2 linked regions of the Rattus norvegicus genome follow. The protein of the gene in region 1 interacts with the protein of each later gene in a pairwise test. Links are inferred from orthologs where the notes say so. Each region holds a gene or a part of one and is shown on either strand. Other genes may lie near its edges.

Region 1 (4,017 bases):
AAAATTTTAAGAGAACCTTGTTTGTTTGTTTGTTTGTTTTAGCGAAATAGACTAAAAAGTTCATGGACAGAATGACGGGATGTCAAGGATCTGCTTCAACACAACGTGAGGAGAGTTTACATGCTCTGAGATCAGGGATGAAAAGAGACTGCCATAGTTAAAACGTGTAGACGCTGGTAAAGCCATCCACTTTATAACAAATCTGAAAGTCCCCATCACAAACAACTAAACGCTGCTGTTGAAATCCAACTCACACGGTGGCCAAGTACAAACCATTAAGAATTATTGTTTTTAAAATAAAATTGCCGCCTTCCTAGCCAGGTGTAAAAGATAACTTCATATTTAGTCAAAAATAGCAGCCCTACTGACCAATTAATACTTTTCTTTTAAAATCAGATTTTGTTTTATCCTATATATAATAAGCTTTTAAAAATTGGTTCACTCATTAATAACTAATCCGTTTGGCATTTCTCTTAGTACAGAAGGTTAAGCCTTTTTTCTTTTGAAACTGACACATTCAAGTACACTCCTGGCCATTTATTTAAAGGATAGAGCGAAGCATCTGTTAACGAGTAATTATAAAGTCCTGAGACCCTGCAAATTGAAACCTCAGGAAAGCAAAAGGTCTCTAGAGATTATGCCCCCAAAACAACAATTATTTTTAACTATGCAGGACTCTCCTGAAAGGAGAGGAGAAACGTTTATAGATTGGCTAATGGAAGGCAAACACAAAGAGAGCTGAGAACCTTAGATGGAGGGGCAATCTGGTTTCAGGTTCTCACTGGCTGCCTGCGCTGAAGCAGACTACTGAAGCACTGTGGGCCTCCATTTCTTCCTCTGTGGAACCTGGTTGGTATCTGGGTGAACAGGGCCTAGCTCCTCTGGCCTCAGGCTACTGTTCCTGCTCCTCGAAGCTTCTCCCTCCCACACTGCCTGCTCAGGAGGTTAGCGGTGCTGCATGAGGTCCGCATTTGGCGGGGCACCAAATGGCTCGTTTTAATTAGCTATTGCCAACGCTAAAATATCAGAGTCCGGATACAAACTTGGAATCCTGGCTCTTAAAAAAAGGCTGAACGAAGTTCTGGACCTCCAGGGGTCTCCAGCACTCCACAATGCCACGCTTGCCTCGGAGGGCTAATTCTTGGCCACAGGCTGAGCAAAGTTCCCTGTTGATCTTGCCCTTTCACTTTCTGTGTCCGTCCCTGCTCAAGGCCCTCCAGCACCCCCACCCCACACCCTCCATTTCTAGGGCACAGACCCTTCACTACAGCTGGTGTCACATCCTGTCCTAGAACTGTGTGCTTGCCAGTCTGTGTCTACGGGGCTCCTGGACTCTCTGGGGGAAGGTACCCTGTTGCTATCTCCTTTGTGTCCTTAGAGTCCAGCAGAAAGCATGACCTAGATAATACAGAATTCAGTAGATAACTCCTGAACGTGTGGAAGGAAGCTCGAGCAAAACTCTTAGCAAAAATGTAATTTTTTTTAATCACAAATTGTTCTGACAGGTGCTAGAAAGAGATTAAAAACATTAAAACATTTCACAAAATGAGAATAAGAGTCTGTTTGCTTACAAGTTTCACAAGTTAAAAGTCACCAACAAAATGGACAAAGCAGAGATAATAGGCAGGGATGGTCTTACTGCTCATTCACTGATCTGACTCTAGAGACGAGAGTCAATATACCAGACAACTACCTGTATTCACAGTGCTATACAAAAACTGGGCTATAAATCAGATAGCATCAAACCAGAGTCAGTGCTGGAAGGAAAACTAAACTGATGAACGGGAATGACTAAGCGAGGGAAAAGGGTGGTCAAGGCAGGCCTCGCCAATAACAAGACACTGAACCACAGGAGGAAGTGATACGAGAAGAGACAGCAGGGCGAAAATCTTATAGACAACTCCGAACATGGAAAAGTCAAAGTGCAAAGGTCCTGAGGTAAATAAATGATTTTTGGCATGTCCAAAGCAGGTGAGGTGAATAGGCTAGGAGAGCAGAGATCTGCTTCTTGTTAGGAGGGAAGGGAGTGGCAGAGGAGGTGGGCAGGGCCCACTCTGGCTCTTTGCTGGGCACTGAAGATGAATGACAAGGCACTGGGGCGGGGGTTGGGGGGAGAAGTGGGGGAGGACTCTAAGCGGATGAGAGTTCCTACGACACTCGTGCCAGTAAGGGAGCATTTACCCACTCGGACGCCCTCAACTGTGCGCCTTAGGCTTCTCTGCCCTAGTGCTTTGAGACAGTTACACTGCCCGATAACAACCCCCAACCAAACCCTAGACATTTTACCACTACTGCGGAGGGGAAAGCAGAGGGCCAGTGAGGGTCAGAGTCACCGCCAAGGTCGCGGGGATCAGAGCCCAGACTCCAGGGCATGCAGCGGAGTACAGCAGCATGCCTCACAGCTGGAGAGAAGGCGCCCACAGACTCCTGCGGGCAGGTCTGCTGGGCCCGGGCCAGACAGCCGGCCTGCAGCCCTGGGCAGCAGACACCAGGCGAGAGAGAACGACTGCGGAACCGTGGAAAGCCAGGCAGTGCCGAGCAGCCCACCCCCCGCACCCCAGGCCTTCGCGGCCCGAGCAGCCCCGCCAGGCCTAGCCGCCCGCCGGGCTCACCTCGGCTCCGCGCCGCCGCGCCGGAGGCAGAGGGAGGGCACGCTGGCGGCGATGCGTTCTGGCGGCTCCCAGCTCCAGGACCCGGACCCGGCCGCCCCGCCCCGCTCTGCTCCGCCCCGTCGCCGCCGCAGTGGGTGTGAGGGGCGCGGGGCGCAGCGACCCTTCCGGTCGGGTTCCCTTCAGCTCCGCAGCTGCCGCCGCCGCCGCCGCCGCCGCCGCGCTCAGTCTGACGGATTCTCAGGCCAGCCAATCAGAACAAGGATATCTAGGCAGGCGGGGCCAATCGAGACTGGGGGTGGGCCAAGGCTGGGCAGTAAGGGCGTGGCTGAGGGTTGGTGTGGGCGAGGCCAGTGGCGCGCTCTGGATACCCTAGTGCAAAGTGGCGCCCCCTAGGCGGCTCCCCGCCTGGCCGTCTGCTTGCTATAAGCGCGTCTGCCAATGTGCGCAGAGGACTAGGGATCCAAGTCAATCTAGGACCAGCTCCTGAGCCCGCCTTCCAGGGCCAGGGGACCCGCATGCGCCGGAGAGGGTGGGCCAAGAGGAGCGAGAGCTGGGGAGGGGCGAAGCGTGACTTTGCTACAGTGTAGGAGCCTAGTCAGGCTCTGTTGCAGCAGGTGCAAGTGGAGAGGCGGCCCTGCGATTTCTCCAAATGCTGGAAACTCGACTGCATAATCGTTCGTGCTCTCCCCTGGGAAAAAAAGGGGGTAAAAGGACTGGAAACAACCGGGTTAGACAGGAGACCTGGGCAAGATTGGGAACCTGGAGTATAACGGCCCGGGAGGAGGAGGGAGGACAAGCCACAGAGCCTTGGGGTTTGTTGTTCACTAAGGCGGATGCGCTGCGTAAGCCACACTGAGTGGGCTCATAACAAGGATGCAGCCAGATGTCCAGAGGGTGGGGGCTGGAGAAACGGTGACCATGACGCTGGTGAGTCAGTGAGGGGATTGGCGGGGTGTGACCTAAAGAGGACTGTTGTAAGGAACAAGTTTCTGCTTTGGTGTAGAGGGATGAGGAGGGCGTCATTCCAATGCTGAAGGGCTTCTATACAGCGGTCTTTGACACTGCTGCTTTTGTTGACGCTCCTACAGCCCTCTGTCTCTCAAATAGGTTCCAGAAGGTCTGAGGTGAATAAGACGTTTGGAAAGCACAGAATTTAGGGTTCTGACTACTCTGAGCTTTGATCGAAAGACTGCAAGTGAGACAAGAGAGGTTGAACGCACTGAGGAAAAGCTCTAAACAGGTTAGGCTGAGGACTGGCCTATAAGGGATTGGAAAAATGCTGACAGTAGTTGACAAGTGGTACAGCTGTAGTAGGATGCCAAGGAATAGCCAGGGAATCGGGCTCTGCATATAGGAAGATCAGGAGAATAGAAGGCCCCATGAATCTCGGCAGAATTTGAAGAGA
Region 2 (4,269 bases), about 21 Mb from region 1:
ACTGAGGGGAAATAGGGAGGAGCGGAAGGAAGAGACCAAAGAGGAGAAAAGCCTGTCTCTGTAAGTCTAGAAATGTCAATCACCCTTGTCGTCTTCCGCCAAACCCAGTCAATGCTGCCCCAGCAATGAACCTCTAATATGGCCCCTCTGCTCCCCTCCACTCTCTGTTCATCATTTTCCCTCGGCTAGCTTATCTTCTAGCGAGCGGTCTCGCTATGCGACACGTTACCCAAAAAGAGAAGTCCTATCTCGACATTCCTCTGGTGAAAGCAAAACCCAATCAAATCAGCACTGGGCTGGAATTAGTGGTGAGCTAAGCATATGTGAGGCCCTAGCAGAAAATTAAATTAAATTAAATTAAATAAAGACTACAGTTCCTCGGGCTCTTTCTTTCACCTGCTATACACAGTCTTCCACCGTCTCTTCTATTCCTCCGCAGCTCTACCTCCTGCCATCTAACCCACAGACATTTTAGAACAGGGCGTGCTTTTCCTTACTCATCTTTAGGATGTCCTTTCCCCACTTCTGTCCATCCTTCAGAAGGGCTGTCCTCAAATTTCCTATGCTATGGAGTGACTGCACTCCCTCCTCCACGCTGGCCAAGCGCTTTTAGGCTTTTAGTTGCTTGATGGTCTGAGTCATATCTATTATAGCGTTCCTGGGAGCATAATACCTGTTTTATATGTCTCACGGATCCCAGGAAACTTAGGCCATGATGTTGTCCCGATGGCTCTGCACAGTGACTTACACAAAATAGGCAGGGAGGGAAGGATGAAGAATGGAAGAGATAAGTGGAGTAGGTGAATGATGGCTAGGATAGACGGTAAGGGAGATGACAAAGTCTGAATGTTTTAAAGTGACACTGCAAAAAAAAAAAAAAAAAATCAAAGACAATACACCAGGGGGAGCTGAAGACCACGAGAACGCGGGAAAGGTAGGCCAAACAAGGCTGCAAGCTCAGGGATGAGCAGCGCATACCAAAGCAAGCATCATCACGCAACAGATACGGCTCACCCACGTGGGCAGCCCCTTGGTGCTCAGACCCAGACAGTGTTTGAGCTCATTCCCACCGCCCCCTCGATCCCGTCCCTCCTCCGCTACAGTGAAAGCAAACAAAGGGGAGGGATCCCTGCAGGGCTATGGATACCAACGGCCAATCAGCTGCTTCTAAACTTCTCGAAGGCGGCCGCCTCCATTTTAAGGGGCCCAATCTAGTTCCAAAGGCTTGAGGAGGGGCGGGGAGATCGAGAGTAGGGACGGCGCGAGGAGGCTTCCCCGAGGGAGACTGAGGGCGGAGGCGTGGGGCGGAGCCAGCTCGAAGAGGGCGGGCTGCGCCGCGGCGCGCGGGCTCCGGCTGACGCAGCTGGCCCCAGCTCCCCTAGACCCAGACCGCGAGGGGAGGGGAAGGAGGAGAAAGAGTGAGGACGCGCGTGCGCAGTGACTCGGGGAGGAGTGGGGACCTGGCAGCGGGTGAGAAGGCTGCGAGCGAGCCGCGAACCCGGCGGGTGGAGGGCGGCGAGCGCGCGCGCACCATGGGTGAAAAACCCGGGACCAGGTAAGGGAGGTGGGGCCGTGCCGCGGGGCATGGGCGGCTGCTCGCGGAGTGTGCCAGGTTGATCCACAGACAAGGACACCGGGGAAGAAACCCCGGGGCCGGACGCCTGGGTCCCTAGAGGGTAGCTGTCCGGGGCCGCAAGCCTAGGTCCTTGAGGATATTGGAGTGGGGGTGCGTGCTGGGGCTCCTGCAAAAAGCAAGACTTGATAGAGATCGGGAAACCCACGCCTGGGTTCTCACAGAGATGTAGGAGTCGGACTACTGGGTTCTCTGCAGGCTGTGATGCAGGGGCGGAGGAAGGAGGAGCAGGTGGCCGGCCCCGAGGGGTTGTGTGCTGGGAGACTGGATGCTGGGAAGGGATTCCCCTAGACTCGTGCCCAACCAATGGAAAGCCTCCTGCCCAATACCCCACAGTCTGATTGCTCCCACCTGTCCCAAGGGTCGGATAGCTCTGCTACCAAACTTCTGCCTTCTCCTAGGTTGCTAGGAGCAACAGCTTCTTGAGAGAGTAGAGTGCATAGGGACCCTCGCTGAAATTGGGCTTTATTCCTGTCCTGGGGAGAGAGAGAGGTAGTATCTGCCCTGGACACACATCCTCTCCCCGGATGTTTTCTGTGCAATCGAGGCTCCTTCCTTCCACTGATACCAGAGTTCTCTTTTTTGGTCTATAGCAAAATCCACTTCCTGTTGTGACCCAACACCCCCAGGAGGACATGGGGTGAATACTTGAGTTCCAAAGGAGCAAGAACTAAATAATAGGTTGGGGCCATGTGCCTCAAGCCAGAGAGGACCAAGGATAAGGGCCTGATTATGAACAGTGACTTCTGCAAAACATGAGACCAACCCCACCACTCCCACTGCCCTTAAGTATTAAGAAGACCAATATCTGAGAGAGATGCTTACAGGGAAGATTGACCTCCTAGATTTGAGGTTAAACTAAACCCCAGAGAAAGGAGAAGTCACTTACTTGGGGGGGAGGCCCCCAAATTTCCGTTGAGTACTTCAGGGAGGGAATAGATGGACCAAAGAAAGACTGCTGACTTGGCATAATTCCCTACCATCTCATCAAATTCTGGGCCAGAGGAAATGGCGAGAATGGCAGGAAGTACAAAGAGGCATCTGCTTTAGCTGCACCCCTCCAAGCTGGGTACCTCCCTGGTAATTCCCTTGCTCTGCCTTCTTGGCCAAGCACACTGTGCACGCTGCGCCCTCCCTAACCATGGCTGGGTAAGAGCAGGGCAACTGACGGAGATACAATGATTGTGTGGTCGTCACAGGTTCTGCCAGGGCTCCCAGTGGGGGAAAATACAAGACAGGAGGAAACCAGAAGTAGGAGAAAGAGCCAACCTAGGTGATGTCCAAGCTGTCAGCCCTAATTGGGACAGAAATTAGAGTGATTATTCTAACCGCCACCATGTCCAAATGTGCCTTTATTACTTGGGGATACTTAGGGCAGCCTATGTATATGCCATGTGACCCTAAGTGTGTGTGGCCCAGTGATGTATGGGCAGCTTGGCTTTGGGGAAGGAGGAGACAAGTGGTTTTTCCAAGCAGAAACTCACATAGTGTGTTGAAGGGAGGATGGAACTCTGGGCAGTTTTCAGCCTGTTATCTGGGGGCCCTTTCAGGAATTGCTCCGGAGCCAAAAGGCCTTAGAAGGGGTAGAGTTGTTCTTGGAAGAACAAGCCAAGGAATGGCCAGAGCTCTGGGGTCACTAGACAGTTTCCTATCCTCCTAGCCGTGGGTGGAGTCTAGACTTAGGTTGTTCTAGTGTCTGTACAGAAAAATCCCCTTAGACTTGACAAACTGTGACAGGCGAGCTTCACGACTTAGTGGTTGAGAACAGGGTCTTGAAACCAGGGTGCCTTCCTCAGGTTTATATCCGAGTCCCACCCTGTACCTTCTCTGTGACCTTTGACAAAATTCTTGTTTGCCGTAAAGCCGGGGTCTTTTAGCCTCTGTCACTGGGCGATAAGAGCTGTAAACGCAGTTGGTACAGTGCTAGAACACAGCAGTCACCAGTCAATGTTAGCCAGAATCACCATGTTTGTCACAGGATGCTACTGTGTGGGGACCACAGTGGGTTTTTTTGTTTTTGTTTTTTTTTAAGCTGCTGAGGTCAGAAACGGGGCTGTTGGAGGTTCATGAAATAGTCAGACTTGGGGACAGAAACATCTGAGGGGCAAAGACTCTGCTCCAGGAGTCACTGTGTGAGTCCTTGAAGCTAGAGGTCAGTTAAAGAGTTCATCTGAGTGTGGTAGTTCGTGCCCCTTCATCCTAGCACCAAAGAGACAGAGGTAAATGGATCTGAGTTGGGGCCAGCCTGGTCTACAAGTCAAGTTCCAGGCTAGCCAGAGTTACATACTAAGGCCAAGGTCAAAAGGGAGGGAGGAGTGTTAGGTGTGACCCAGACATTGTGTAGCCATCAGTTGACTCTTGGTTTCGGAGAGGGTCCCTCAGGAGAGCCTGAATAGTTGGCTGGGGCAAACAGTGGCCATTTACTATAAGCGGAGGAGTGAGTTAGTAACATCAACAGCAAAGAGGAAAGGCCTGACAGTTGGCTTCAAGAGGCTTCAAATACCGGTGGGAAGCAGTAAAAAAAAGCAGTGGGAAGGGTCGAGCAGGGATCCAGGGTGAATTCCATTTCTCTGGGGGGAGGGATAAATCCCGGCGTGGTGGTCCCTGCCCAGCCTAAGGGAGGCAGTGGGGTCTTC

Evidence for each region.
Region 2: the proteins of Mapk9 (region 1) and Arrb2 interact in binary tests that used the Homo sapiens proteins (3 or more experiments, as listed by UniProt). The two-hybrid records come from large-scale screens. The link is inferred for Rattus norvegicus from reciprocal best matches to the Homo sapiens genes MAPK9 and ARRB2.

Annotation. Positions count from the first base shown.
Region 1 is NC_086028.1:34,669,579-34,673,595, reverse strand, and holds the start of Mapk9 (mitogen-activated protein kinase 9), read right to left. Parts: upstream 2,824-4,017; 5' UTR 2,613-2,823; intron 1-2,612. UniProt on the Homo sapiens protein: Serine/threonine-protein kinase involved in various processes such as cell proliferation, differentiation, migration, transformation and programmed cell death.
Region 2 is NC_086028.1:55,644,148-55,648,416, forward strand, and holds the start of Arrb2 (beta-arrestin-2), read left to right. Parts: upstream 1-1,454; 5' UTR 1,455-1,532; coding exon 1,533-1,555; intron 1,556-4,259; exon of another isoform or gene 4,260-4,269. UniProt on the Homo sapiens protein: Functions in regulating agonist-mediated G-protein coupled receptor (GPCR) signaling by mediating both receptor desensitization and resensitization processes.